Linked DNA regions of Schizosaccharomyces pombe. The protein of the gene in region 1 binds, or shares a complex with, the protein of each later gene. Each region holds a gene or a part of one and is shown in the gene's direction. Other genes may lie near its edges.

What was found. The genes of interacting proteins can lie anywhere in the genome.
Region 2: the proteins of cox7 (region 1) and cox3 are in contact, whole or in part, in a cryo-EM structure (PDB 8C8Q), measured with the Schizosaccharomyces pombe proteins. Residues at the interface, in NP_001343154.1 of Schizosaccharomyces pombe: Lys2 (codon at 3,900), Asn3 (codon at 3,903), Ile5 (codon at 3,909), Gln8 (codon at 3,918), Gln9 (codon at 3,921), Leu12 (codon at 3,930), Gln13 (codon at 3,933), Pro18 (codon at 3,948), Thr19 (codon at 3,951), Tyr20 (codon at 3,954), Gln22 (codon at 3,960), Arg23 (codon at 4,030), Ser26 (codon at 4,039), Leu29 (codon at 4,048), Val30 (codon at 4,051), Tyr33 (codon at 4,060), Tyr34 (codon at 4,063), Met37 (codon at 4,072), Leu40 (codon at 4,081), Gly41 (codon at 4,084), Tyr43 (codon at 4,090), Ser44 (codon at 4,093), Ala47 (codon at 4,102), Ser48 (codon at 4,105), Arg50 (codon at 4,111), Val51 (codon at 4,114), Lys55 (codon at 4,176), Lys56 (codon at 4,179), Asp57 (codon at 4,182); in YP_011104931.1 of Schizosaccharomyces pombe: Ser16 (codon at 3,648), Ala17 (codon at 3,651), Ser18 (codon at 3,654), Pro19 (codon at 3,657), Trp20 (codon at 3,660), Phe23 (codon at 3,669), Val26 (codon at 3,678), Val27 (codon at 3,681), Phe29 (codon at 3,687), Phe30 (codon at 3,690), Leu33 (codon at 3,699), Leu37 (codon at 3,711), Gly41 (codon at 3,723), Tyr42 (codon at 3,726), Lys43 (codon at 3,729), His44 (codon at 3,732), Phe48 (codon at 3,744), Ile51 (codon at 3,753), Ser52 (codon at 3,756), Gly55 (codon at 3,765), Thr59 (codon at 3,777), Leu62 (codon at 3,786), Arg65 (codon at 3,795), Asp66 (codon at 3,798), Thr69 (codon at 3,807), Glu70 (codon at 3,810), Asn72 (codon at 3,816), Ile73 (codon at 3,819), His74 (codon at 3,822), Tyr231 (codon at 4,293).

The regions. Positions count from the first base shown.
Region 1 is NC_003423.3:1,712,706-1,719,332, reverse strand, and holds cox7 (cytochrome c oxidase subunit VII Cox7), read left to right. Parts: upstream 1-3,788; 5' UTR 3,789-3,850; intron 3,851-3,890; 5' UTR 3,891-3,896; coding exon 3,897-3,962; exon of another isoform or gene 3,963-4,029; coding exon 4,030-4,122; exon of another isoform or gene 4,123-4,144; intron 4,145-4,172; coding exon 4,173-4,193; downstream 4,194-6,627. Other genes in the region: transcriptional activator MBF subunit Rep2, read right to left, coding at 450-1,109; cay1 (cactin), read right to left, coding at 4,447-5,076, 5,160-5,612, 5,659-5,751, 5,807-6,058, 6,105-6,230.
Region 2 is NC_088682.1:5,359-12,572, forward strand, and holds cox3 (cytochrome oxidase subunit 3), read left to right. Parts: upstream 1-3,602; coding exon 3,603-4,412; downstream 4,413-7,214. Other genes in the region: cox1 (cytochrome oxidase subunit 1), read left to right, coding at 1,141-1,485, 2,567-3,434; cob (apocytochrome b), read left to right, coding at 4,817-5,500.

The DNA.
Region 1 (6,627 bases):
TATCCTATGCCTTAAACTAAAGTCAGTTGTAACTTTAGAACTGGTGTTTCCTCTTTACAGTATGTTTGCTCAATCTAGATGAAGTGTGAGCTGTATTGTAATATATTTCATTATAGCTTTCGCGAAAATAAAAAGATAGTGTCTGTAATAGTGATATTTGATAGCAAAACATAGAAAAAAGTGCATAGATGATCGTTTCCTAAAACAAGGTTATAAGAGCAGTCTTCTATCATTTCAAACTATATTTCTTGATTACCTAATTGATGTAGTAAATTATACTATGATCTCAAAATAACTTCTCTAAAAGAAGTGATGAAGCTCTCAAGAGTAAAACGACTGAGCAAAATTTTAATACGCTTTATATAACCAGCGTCATTAATAAGCGATAATTATTACATATCCGTAATGCTACTAGATACGAAAGCTGCTTCTTTGTATGAACGGAAATATTAAAAGAGCCAGTCATCTATCACGTCCTCAACAAAAAAGTCCGAAAGCTTAAAGGGAACTTGATTCAAGCAGGTTGCTTCATGCATCATAAGAGCCGTTGAATGGTTGAACGTGGTATTGCATTTTGAGCAAATTAAGTTAGGGGTGGGCCTTAAAGCCTTTTGAACACGGCCTTCACGACGGCGCATTCTCCTTCGAAGGGCAGATTTAATAGCATCACGAGCATCAGAAGAGTGATTCTCTCTCTCCTCTTGCTTCTTGGATCTAGACAAGACCCTTGCCATTAAGCCCTTGTCTTGCTTTCTATGGATAATTTGAGGAGGATCAGTTTGTTGACGAATGAGTTGAGCAATTCCAAGTTTTCCTATGACTAAAGAAGCATAAGTGACATTCCGGCGATTTTGGCTTTCTACGAGCGGTTGTTGGTTTGGCGAAGCAGCAACTGGACTACCAAATTGGTGGTTTTGTTGTATGGGCAGACAATATGCGTTCATGAATGCAAAATCATCCGAGGAAGCAAAGGAAGAAACAGATGATGGAGAAGATACAATATCACATAGTGAAGGATTAGCAATACTGGATAAAATTGGGGATGACCATGGATATGTTGGGGGGTTGTTCAGACATGGCTTGCTAAGAGGAATGTCTGCAAAATGCATGGCTTTGGATTTTAGTCAAAGAGAGGAGACAGGATACCACGATTACTATTGTTCGAGCAAAATAAATAATTAAATCCAACAAACGAAAAGATTAAGGCTTCTGATAAGGGCGATGAACACAGCTAGCAGAAGCTTCCAAAAAGTGCGAATTAAACACAAAAAAACAAAATTGAAAGGAAAGAAAAACAAATAATCAAAACCAAAAACGATAGTTTCAATCACTCCTGTTACACAGATGTTCACTTTTAAAGCTATAGTCTCACAAACCAACGGAAAAGTGGGTGCGAAATGGACAAAAAACACAGAATTGATCGAAAATTGACTATAATATTAATCAAATAGTCTCTTTATTAAATGGTGTATCTCAACTTTCCCGCAAAATCGAACTTCCAAAAAACGAGTGATCAATGTCCGAAGAGAGAGAAGCACTACTAAGAAGAACGAAAGCAAAAGGCTTAATGTAGTTCACAAAGTAGTATTGAAAAATAAGTTTGCGATAAAATGGGAAAGAGATAGTGGTCGAGAAATGGAACCAAGGAAAAGAAGGTGAGAAAATAAGAAGTACAGTGGGTAAAGGTAACAAGTATGTTACTAATGTGATGGCTGCTAAGTAACCGAGAGAATAAAATCCTACGGATTAAAACAAAACAAAAGTTACTTAAGTTGTTTTTTACATTTTAAGCTACTCAACTGTTACCATATCCTTGCACCGTACTTTTTTTTCTATTACCAAGTTGCTCACCTACCACATGAATTGGTTGCCATTTGTTTACATGCCTCATAGCAACCATACTTAATTAAAACATTGATAACTTCTCAAAAAAAGAATATGCATAAGAAAAAAAGTCATTTACATGTTTAAAAAAATAAGGCGACACATTAAATTAATTAAAATGTATCTGTTTCTCGAAATCCAGAAATGCTACTGAAACAACAAATTTCTCCTGCATTGGGTCAATTCATTGACTATCGTAGCGAAACAAATTTTAAAAAATTTATTAAATATTTTGGAAGTTGTTTTCCATTTGGTTTCATTCATTCGTCAACCGTTTATCACATTAAAGCCTTGTAAACAAATTGCACCACAAACCTTTCTTAACGAGACCCAATCTTCAATATTTAGCTTAGCATTGCTCCGTTCCATTTAAAATTAATCACTCTATTTTATTTTAATTAGAATTAACATGGAGCTTGCTTCAAACTCTTAAAAACCAATTGCACACCACTTAACCCTTTATAATATAATTGTTGTGAAAATAAGCAGAAGTCCAGCAAAAACTTTCAATTTACCAATCAATCAACTTTTTAAAAGTAAATCAATTAAAGTTGTATTTTGAAGTCAAATACAGCAGATTATGGATTAACAAAGCAGAAAAGGGAATTCACTCAAAGAGACGTAAGGCTTAATTCTTTCTCACAAGTAGTTTAGTTTTTCAAACCCCTATTTTATTGAAGATTCTAATTATGCCCTATCACTGTAACTAAGCATCCAAAGGAGTCTTAGTACCTGTAAATGAGAATAGCATTAAAGCCGTAAAAGCTATAAACTTTTGTAGCGTAATTGCTATTTTTATAGACAGTTTTATCCTTCCAGAGGTTACTTTGCTTATTATTTTTAACTTCCTCCAACACTATGCCAATGAAAATACGTTAAATAATCTTAGTTTTGAACAGCTCACAGTGGAAGACTAATAAACAAAACTCGACATAATATTATGATGATCATCCAGTCACTAAGTGAGCTATATTTTAAGCTAATGCAATCAATTTTCTTCAAATGCATGAAATTTAAAGGTTTACCCCAACAATATAATGTTGTGTTCAGTTGTGATAATTGTAATCTTTAAAGTATAGCTCGGTTAAGTGCACCTTAATTTCATAAGATTATTATTAGGCCCATAAAATTTGACGAAAGTTTTCTCGGTATTAGTATTCCAAAAAAAAAAAAAAAGAAAAAAAAAAAAAAACAAGGAAGAAAGCAGAGTATCTTTAAAGTACTTTCTGAAATATAATGTATAAGAAACTGTTTTAGTTCATCAATTACTTGAAAAGACGATTTAGCATTTTCAATAACTCAAACCATCATATTCTATCTGTAAGTCATTGTCAGAATCAATTAAAAACTTTCAACGTCCTTCGTATAATATGAACATAGAGCTTTGTAATACGAATTGCTTAAATGGACAAGGAATTTTCGCGTTTGTAGAGAATACTGATGAAGGATAGAACATATGTAACTCAGTATAAAATTGTTCCCTTATCTCAACAACCATAAGAATTTATATAAGTACAAGCAAATGCATCTTCATTATTAACTTTGATCGCTATACTATTATTGCTCCGAGTATGCCATGGACGCATTTATACCATGTTTGAAAGAGATTCCCCAATAGCTTATAAGGAGATAGCTTTAGTTTTTGAAGAAGAATCAATCTGACAATGATTCCGTCCTTAAATTATTTGACAACAATTAATTTATATTATTAGCGTTAATCTCGTTCAGTAAGATTAATTTAAAATGATACATACCAAAAACGATAAAGGAGCATTTTTTTAATAATACGAATATCTTTCACTTAACCGTCTTATTAATATACTTAAATATGTGAGTTTATGAGGTTGACTCTGTGTTCTGGCACCAAGATGTACTAATTGGAACCATCAATCCTTTCCGCACCTACCTACATTTTATCGTTAACCCTCATTTTTTTAACAGTTTAACTTGTTAACTTGATTATTGGTTCGTTTTATAATTATTAAAACAATTATTAATTAAAAAAGAAAAAAATGAAGAATACTATTGTTCAACAACAACGCTTTCTCCAAAGCATCCACAAACCAACTTACTTGCAGGTAAGTTTTAAACGAAACTTGTTTTTAATTATGAAGAGAAAAAAGAACCTAATTGTTTAATATTTAGAGACCAGGTAGTTTTGCTCTTGTTTATCCTTACTACGCTGTTATGGCTGGTCTTGGTTTGTATTCCCTTTATGCCTCTGGAAGAGTCATTTTCGTATGTTATTACTCGATTTATACTATTTTTTTCTAACCTTTCAAAATTAGGGGAAGAAAGATGCTTTTTGAGGACATCCGAAGCATATTTTTATGTCAGGGAACTTCAAATTTCTATGATGCCTTTTCCTTCTATTTATCACCCCCTTCTTCTTGAATTAGTTTAGCTTTTCAATCACGAACTAATCGATTTCGTGTTTCTTTACGATTAAACTTATTTATGCAATACTTAAGTAGTTTAGTAGATGCCTTTTAAGGTTGTTTAGCTGCACATGTAACAGTAATTTAAATTTCATTAAATGTACAACATGATAAATCAGTTATTTTACCTTCTATGATGAAGCTTTTTGAATCGAAAATGGAGGGATAAAACACCATTGTCAAAACTGCTTTTAAACCCATGATCTCGTTTTGCACTGTAATCCCAATCTTTATCTACTATACTGAAGGCAATATCCTGATATGGTTCCCCAGCTATAAAACGTATAATGCAAACATCGTCTTGTAAATCAGTAGTGTCGCTTTTATTCTTCCTTCGTGTTCGTTCTATTCGATACGTTGGTGCACGGCCTGTACCTATTAAATCTGGATAAAAAACGTTAAAACGGTACCCTTGAACTGCTTTGGGAGGTGGGTGGGCTTCATTGAAATGTGCTTGATTATAAGAATTCCATTCAAACCCAAGCAAAACTCTATTAAAGTAGTGAGGCTTTTTCAAAGTAACCCCGTTTTCGTTAACAACACGGGTTTGCCCTTCTACATAGTCCCCAAGCATCTCTTGCTCCTCTGCATCATCGGATTGTAAGTATTCTCTTTCGAGTCGTGCCCTGTTGGCAATTGAAAATTCATCCTCGTTAATCAGATTACTGTTTTTCGGCAAAGTTGGCTTTTGTTTTTGGGTAGGTATCGATATTGGAATATAAGTGCTAGACTTTACAATATTGACATGATCATTCTAGAAAAGATTTTGGTTAGGACAAAAGATGGAAATCGTAATTTGGAAGAGAGTTAATATTATGAAAAACACAAATATCTTACCAATTCTTTTTCATAATCGGCTTGTTCTTCAGGTTGTATCCTGCGTGGTATCGCTTGAGCCCTCAAAATGGGCTTCGGGTCTATAGGGACAATATATAACTTCTCTTCACGATCCTTCATATTTGACAGTTTTTTGGCATCGGAAAAAGCTTTGTCCCATTCTTCATTATCAAGTTTATTTTTTCGAATTTGTAATTCTTCATTAAAAGTCTTTTTTAAATAAGCAATGGCCTTGTAAGATTTTAAAGAGTTTAGTAAATCAACCCAATAATCTGTATCGAGAGGGACATTGCTCTTCAATTTTTTTTGAATTTGTGCCTCAAGCTGTTCTAATTGTTCAAAAGATTTAGGGGCTAAAATCCTTTGTACTTCACCTGCTACGACCTTTAACCCTCTTGAAAATTGCCCAACTTTGTTATGTTCCATTCGAGAATTCACTAGCATTTTAACGTACTATAATGTATAATTTAGCACTTAAAGCATAAAAAATAATCCATACCTTCCAATAAGTTAGTCTACATTGGTTCGTTTCCAGCTGCTGAATATCACCAATATTTCTAGATATCTCCTCCAAATCTTCTGCTTTATAACTCTAAGTATGTTAATGATTAATCTGTTATAAAGTAAAAATAAAATAAGTCCCTTACTTGAATAACAGAGAGTGGATCAAACATGTCAACTGTTCCAAAATCAATTGAATTTTTTTCTCCATTCTCTTCCCATTCTGGGCCTGGCATCAAGTAAACGCTGACAAGAAGTTTATCTATAGGCTTAGAACGATCATTCTTAAGTCGAATAATAGCTCTTCGAAGCTGCTGTAAACGCAAAAATTCCCGTTCTTGCATTTCTTTCGTTTCCCTACTTCGCTCTTCCTCTTTCATAGCATCTCTCACTCTCGGCTAAAGGGAAGGTTAATTCAAAAACAACTAACATTTTCCTACTTACTAAATTATAATTTGCTCTTGCATTTTGATTTGAAGGTCGAAATGAACGAGGTGAAGAAGATCTCGAAGCATGCCTTTTTTCAGGTCTACTTCTGTTGAAATCGCGAGTTGAATCACGAAATGCCATAGTAATATATTTAAATTCAATGCCTTAAATACCAATATTGCTGTATGAAGGGTGCTTTCCAACAGAAGAGAATCCAATTGCTTTTTTTTTATTTGAAACAACTCAATGAGTAGGTTAAGTTTTTTTTTTTGAAATTTGAAACGTAGAGCTTTGTTATTTGATAAATGAACTTAAGGTAATCAATTACTTAGCAATAATAAGACTTATCCAACAATAGTAAAATTTATGGTTATGGCAAAGGTGAAATTTTATTGCATATTCGAATGCTTAGTAGGTAGTTCTAATTTGACGCTTGGTGGTTTGAAAGAAATTGAGCGGTAATGTTATAGCACGAAAAACCCCTAATTCATTATAGTTGCTATTGGTAAAAGTCTCAACGATATCGACTAAAAGGTGA
Region 2 (7,214 bases), on another chromosome or scaffold:
ACTCAGTTAATTTATTTTTTAACTAGTAAAAAGATTACTAACTTGGGGAAAATTCGCCTGGTTAAATCCATCAGAGACTCGTTTCTATCACAATTAGAAAATATTTTATGTTTCTTTTTGGTTTATAGAACAACATACTCTTTCGGAGTGTGTTTAATGAAGAGGTTCTTATTTAATAAATTTTTTAATAGACATCCTTTTACAAGGGTAAAAAGCTGTTTTTCATCATCTTCACCATCAAAATTCTCTTTTACTCAATGGTTAGTAGGATTTACTGATGGTGATGGTTGTTTTAGTATTTCAAAACAAAAAATAAAAAATGGCAAAAATAAATGGTCTCTTACTTTTAAATTAACACAAAATCTTTATAATTATAGAATTTTATATTTTATTAAGAGAAATTTAGGTATTGGTTCACTTTATAAAGAATCTTCAACTAATACAGTAATATATAGATTAAGAAGAAGAGAGCATCTTAAAAAGATTATAGATATTTTTGATCAATTCCCTCTTTTAACTAAAAAATATTGGGATTATTATTTGTTTAAAAAAGCATTCTTAATTTTAGAGGACGCTAATCTAAATTCTTTTGAAAAAAATAGTAAACTAGAAGAGATCAGAATAGAGAAAAAGTCTTTAAAACAATATTCTCCAGTTAATTTAGAAAAATATTTAACAAAGTCTTGGTTAATTGGATTTATTGAAGCAGAAGGGAGCTTTTATTTACTACAAAAAAGCCCTGTAAGAATAATTCATGGGTTTGAGATTACTCAAAATTATGAACAACCCCTACTTGCTCAGATTTCAGAGTTCCTATTTAATTCTCAAATCTCACCAAAAATAAAATCAAAAAAAAATTCCTTAATTACAAATTATTCCTTATCAACTAGTTCAAAAGAAAGAATGTTATTTCTTTCATCTTATTTTGAAAATTGTTTTAAAGGAGTAAAATCATTAGAATTTAAAATTTGGTCTAGATCTTTACGTAAAAATTATAATTTTGAACAGCTTTTAAGAGCTAGAGATTTAATTAGAAAATTAAAAAATAAATATTCCCGAGGATCACAACATCCAAAGGATAAATAAAATAAGTTCAAGGTATAGTCCGATCAAGATTGAGAAATCTTGTTAACTAAAATGATATCCACCACTATCAAGTATCACTTCTCATAGTGGTCCAGCTATTGATCTAGCTATTTTAAGTTTACAATTAACTGGTATTTCATCAACATTAGGATCAGTAAATTTAATAGCGACAATGATTAATATGAGAGCTCCAGGATTAAGTTTATATCAAATGCCATTATTTGCATGGGCTATAATGATTACATCAATTCTATTACTGCTTACTTTACCAGTTTTAGCAGGTGGATTATTTATGTTATTCTCAGATAGAAATTTAAATACTTCATTCTATGCTCCTGAAGGTGGTGGTGACCCTGTACTTTACCAACATTTATTCTGGTTCTTTGGTCATCCAGAGGTCAATTTAATAGGCCTCTTAACGTTGCTATATGCTGGAACTACTTGAAAAATACTAGATAAGTGTTTTTGTTTTAAATACTCCAAGAAAAACACCAGATTAGTGTTTATTTTTATAGTAAAAATGTTAAAACAATTAAGTATATCAGCAGGTAACCTTTTGAATAAGGGAACCTCAGAGACTTTACGCAACGAAATCACAACAAAAAAAGTTTCTATTCATCTCCCTAAACACTTAAAACCAGCTAATGATTCTCAATTTGGTCACTATTTAGCAGGTTTAATTGATGGTGATGGTCATTTTAGTAGTAAACAACAATTAATTATTGCTTTTCACTCTTTAGATATACAATTAGCTTATTATATTAAAAAACAAATAGGTTATGGTATTGTACGTAAAATTAAAGATAAAAATGCTATTCTTTTTATAATAGCTAACTCTAAAGGAATTGAAAGAGTAATAACTTTAATTAATAATAAATTTAGAACTACTAGTAAATATAATCAGATTATTAATAATATATTTGCTCATCCTAGATTTAAAGAATTTAGTAAAACTATTACTTTAGGTTTAAATTCAAATAATAATTTAAATAATCATTGGCTAGCTGGATTCTCAGATGCTGATGCTAGTTTTCAGATTAAAATTTTAAATAGGGACAAAAAAATAGAAGTTCGATTGAACTATCAAATAGATCAAAAAAAAGAGTATCTTTTGAGTTTAATTAAAGATAATTTAGGTGGTAATATAGGCTATCGAAAAAGTCAAGATACTTATTATTATGGTTCTACTAGTTTTGGTTCAGCTAAAAAAGTTATTAATTATTTTGATAATTATCATTTGCTATCTTCTAAATATATTAGCTATTTAAAATGAAGAAAAGCTTATCTTATTATTCAAGAAAATAAACATTTAACAGAATCAGGACTTTCTCAAATAAAAAAACCTCATCCCTATCGGAAGAATATTAATTAGATTTGTTGAGATTTAAAATAAAGTCCTAACAAGGGTATAAAGCTTTTGAGTGTTAAAAAGAATAAATCACCTTTTGGGTGATTTTTTTTCATTAACCAAAATTTATTGTTATATTTTAATTATGCCAGCTTTCGGTGTTGTTAGTCACATTATTCCTAGTTTAGCTCATAAACCTATTTTCGGTAAAGAAGGTATGCTTTGGGCTATGTTAAGTATTGCTTTATTAGGATTAATGGTATGGTCTCATCACTTATTCACAGTTGGTTTAGATGTTGATACTAGAGCTTATTTCAGTGCTGCAACTATGGTTATTGCAATTCCAACAGGTATTAAAATCTTCAGTTGGTTAGCTACTTTAACAGGTGGTGCAATACAATGGTCAAGAGTACCTATGTTATATGCTATTGGTTTCTTAATCTTATTCACAATTGGTGGATTAACAGGTGTTATATTAAGTAATTCAGTATTAGATATCGCTTTCCATGATACTTATTTCGTTGTAGCTCACTTCCATTACGTTCTGTCAATGGGTGCATTATTTGGTCTTTGTGGTGCATACTACTATTGGAGTCCAAAAATGTTTGGATTAATGTACAATGAAACTCTAGCTTCAATCCAATTCTGGATTTTATTCATAGGTGTTAATATTGTATTCGGTCCTCAACATTTCTTAGGATTAAATGGTATGCCTAGAAGAATACCAGATTATCCAGATGCATTTGTGGGATGGAATTTTGTATCAAGTATTGGTTCAGTAATTTCTATTCTTTCATTATTCCTATTTATGTATGTTATGTATGATCAATTTACATCAAATAGAGTGGTTAAAACAAATCCTTATTTAATCCCTAGCTATTTTGATGATAATGTAATCTTCGTAAATGAAAAATTAGGGGTAGCTCAATCAATAGAATGGTTACTACATTCACCAGTACACGAACACGCATTTAATACATTACCTACAAAAAGTATTTAATTTAAAATCTTAACCCCCCTTTTATTTTATAAACTTTATTCCAATTTAAAAATTGGAGAGGGAGATTGAAGGATAATTTAGCTATCCTATTCAAAATTGTATCTTTATAATTTTTTTATTCCTTATATGTGAGAGAACACTATTGAGATAAACTAATTTAGCTTAAACATGAATCTTTCTACTAAATTTCAAGGACATCCTTATCATATTGTAAGTGCGTCACCTTGGCCATTTTTCTTATCTGTAGTATTATTCTTTAACTGTTTAGCAGCTACATTATATTTACATGGATACAAACATTCATCAGTATTCTTTGGAATCAGTTTCTTAGGTTTATTAGCAACTATGTATTTATGGTTTAGAGATATGTCAACTGAAGCTAATATTCATGGTGCACATACAAAAGCAGTAACAAAAGGATTAAAAATAGGATTTATGTTATTCCTAATTTCTGAAACTTTCTTATTTGCTTCTATTTTCTGGGCTTTCTTCCATAGTTCATTATCACCTACTTTTGAATTAGGTGCAGTATGGCCACCAGTAGGAATAGCAGATAAAACAATAGATCCATTAGAAGTCCCTCTATTAAATACAGTAATTTTATTAACTTCTGGTGCTAGTTTAACTTATGCTCATTATTCATTAATTGCTAGAAATAGAGAAAATGCTTTAAAAGGTTTATATATGACTATCGCTTTATCATTCTTATTCTTAGGAGGTCAAGCTTATGAATACTGGAATGCTCCATTCACTATTTCAGATTCTGTTTATGGTGCTAGTTTCTATTTTGCTACTGGTCTTCATGGTATTCATATTATTGTTGGTACAATTCTACTTCTTGTTGCTACTTATAATATTTATACTTACCACTTAACTAATACTCATCATAATGGATTTGAATGTGGTATTTATTATTGGCATTTCTGTGATGTTGTTTGGTTATTCCTTTATTTAACTATTTATATTTGGGGTAGCTAAGGCTTACTTCAATTTTTCCCCCCTTTTTATATCTTATTTCTCTAAAATAGTCTGTATAGCTCAATGGTAGAGCATCTCACTTCTAATGAGTCGATCTAAGTTCGATTCTTAGTACAGATTCCACACCTAGAAGGTGTGTATTTTTTTTTTAGCTAATTTAACTCAATTGGTAGAGTGCGTACCTTGTAAGTACGAAGTTAGAGGTTCAATTCCTCTAATTAGCAATCCCTTTCCCATATTTTTGGTATAAGAGGATCTCAGATAGTATCTAACCTATCTTATCTTTTATTATCCAATATCCTTTTAATAAGATTTGGATCTTTTTTCCCAATTCCTTCAAATTTTTGACTATTTATCGATAATGATTGTTCAATTTAGAAGGGATAATTTCAAATTTAATTTTTATGAAAATTTTAAAATCTAATCCTTTTTTAGCTTTGGCTAATAATTATATGATTGATGCTCCTGAACCTTCAAATATTTCATACTTCTGGAATTTTGGTTCTCTTTTAGCTTGTGTATTAGTTATTCAAATTGTAACTGGTATACTTTTAGCTTGTTTTTATATTCCTAATATGGATTTAGCTTTCCTTTCAGTTGAAAGAATTGTTAGAGATGTAAATTATGGTTTCTTATTAAGAGCTTTCCATGCAAATGGTGCTAGTTTCTTCTTTATCTTCTTATACTTACACATAGGTAGAGGTTTATATTATGGTTCTTATAAATATCCAAGAACAATGACATGGAATATTGGTGTTATTATCTTCTTATTAACTATTATTACTGCCTTTTTAGGTTACTGTTTACCAGCTAATCAAATGTCATTCTGGGGTGCAACTGTTATTACTAATTTATTATCAGCTGTTCCTTTCATTGGTGATGATTTAGTTCATCTATTATGGGGTGGATTTAGTGTATCTAATCCTACTTTAAATAGATTCTTCTCACTTCACTATTTAATGCCTTTTGTTATTGCTGCTTTATCAGTAATGCATTTAATTGCTCTACATACTAATGGTTCATCAAATCCATTAGGTGTAACAGCTAATATGGACAGAATCCCAATGAACCCGTATTATCTGATAAAATTGCGCCGTTGTGGTATATATGTGTACCCTCATAGAGAAAGGGATATCTTGTGTGTAAAGATATGAACAATACACTTAGGTAGCTGGGGAAACCCAATGCCGAACAGAGCATGTGTACAGAAGGTCCTTCCTGTAACGAAACAGATAAGTTCAGATGGATCAGTTCAAATAGATACGGTTAGAGCTGTATTGCCCGAATTCCAATTCCCATCTCACCCTCAGATAGGTGATTGTCTTAGCTGAATAGAGACATTCTTCTCTAGATCTTTGGTTGGCTTTTATGACCAAGGATACACACCAGGAGAAGAGAGTTGTACCAATAGTACAATTAAGGGAATGAGTGGAAAACCTACGTCTATCAACTCAAACATATATACAACTACGGGTCCCGCTAAGGTCAGTAATGACTATGCGGTCAGAGATCCTGGAGTAGCTGTTGATCATTTTGATCAATACGGTCCTTTGAAAGAGGGAAGAAGTTTGAACTCTGCAAAGATTTCAACACAGTGAAGTGGATCAGCTACATTAAAGTCTTCCAATAGATCAATATTTAATATTGGTTTAGGATACATTAATACTTTTTTAGGGGTATCTAATGTAAGAGGATTTAGTACAGGATCAGGACGATCAAAAAATGTACTAAATAAACTAGACGATTTATCTAAACGATCAAAAAATTATCCTAATCTTGTAATTGATAGAAATCTCTACAAAGATTTCCTATTAAATCGAGATATGTTCCTTATTGCTTATAATAAATTAAAATCTAATCCTGGTATGATGACTCCTGGTCTTAAACCGGATACTTTAGATGGAATGTCTATAGATGTTATTGATAAAATTATCCAAAGCCTTAAATCTGAAGAATTTAACTTCACTCCTGGTAGACGTATCTTAATTGATAAAGCCAGTGGTGGAAAAAGACCATTAACAATTGGTAGTCCTCGAGACAAATTAGTTCAAGAAATTCTTAGAATAGTCCTTGAGGCTATCTATGAACCATTATTTAATACTGCTTCTCATGGATTTAGACCAGGTCGAAGTTGTCATTCTGCTCTTAGATCTATTTTCACTAATTTTAAAGGTTGTACTTGGTGGATTGAAGGAGATATTAAAGCTTGTTTTGATTCTATCCCTCATGATAAATTAATTGCTCTATTATCTTCTAAAATTAAAGATCAACGATTTATTCAATTAATTCGTAAAGCTTTAAATGCTGGATATCTAACTGAAAATAGATATAAATACGATATTGTTGGAACTCCTCAAGGTTCTATAGTTAGTCCTATCTTAGCAAATATCTACCTTCATCAATTGGATGAATTTATTGAAAACCTAAAATCAGAATTTGATTACAAAGGTCCAATAGCTCGTAAAAGAACTTCTGAATCTAGACATCTTCATTATCTAATGGCAAAAGCCAAAAGAGAAAATGCTGATTCAAAAACAATTAGAAAAATAGCGATTGAAATGCGTAATGTTCCTAATAAGATACATGGTATTCAATCTAATAAACTAATGTATGTTCGATACGCTGATGATTGGATAGTTGCAGTTAATGGAAGTTATACTCAAACTAAAGAGATTTTAGCTAAAATTACCTGTTTCTGTTCATCAATTGGACTAACAGTATCTCCAACTAAGACTAAAATAACTAATTCATATACGGATAAAATACTTTTCCTTGGTACTAATATTAGCCATTCTAAAAATG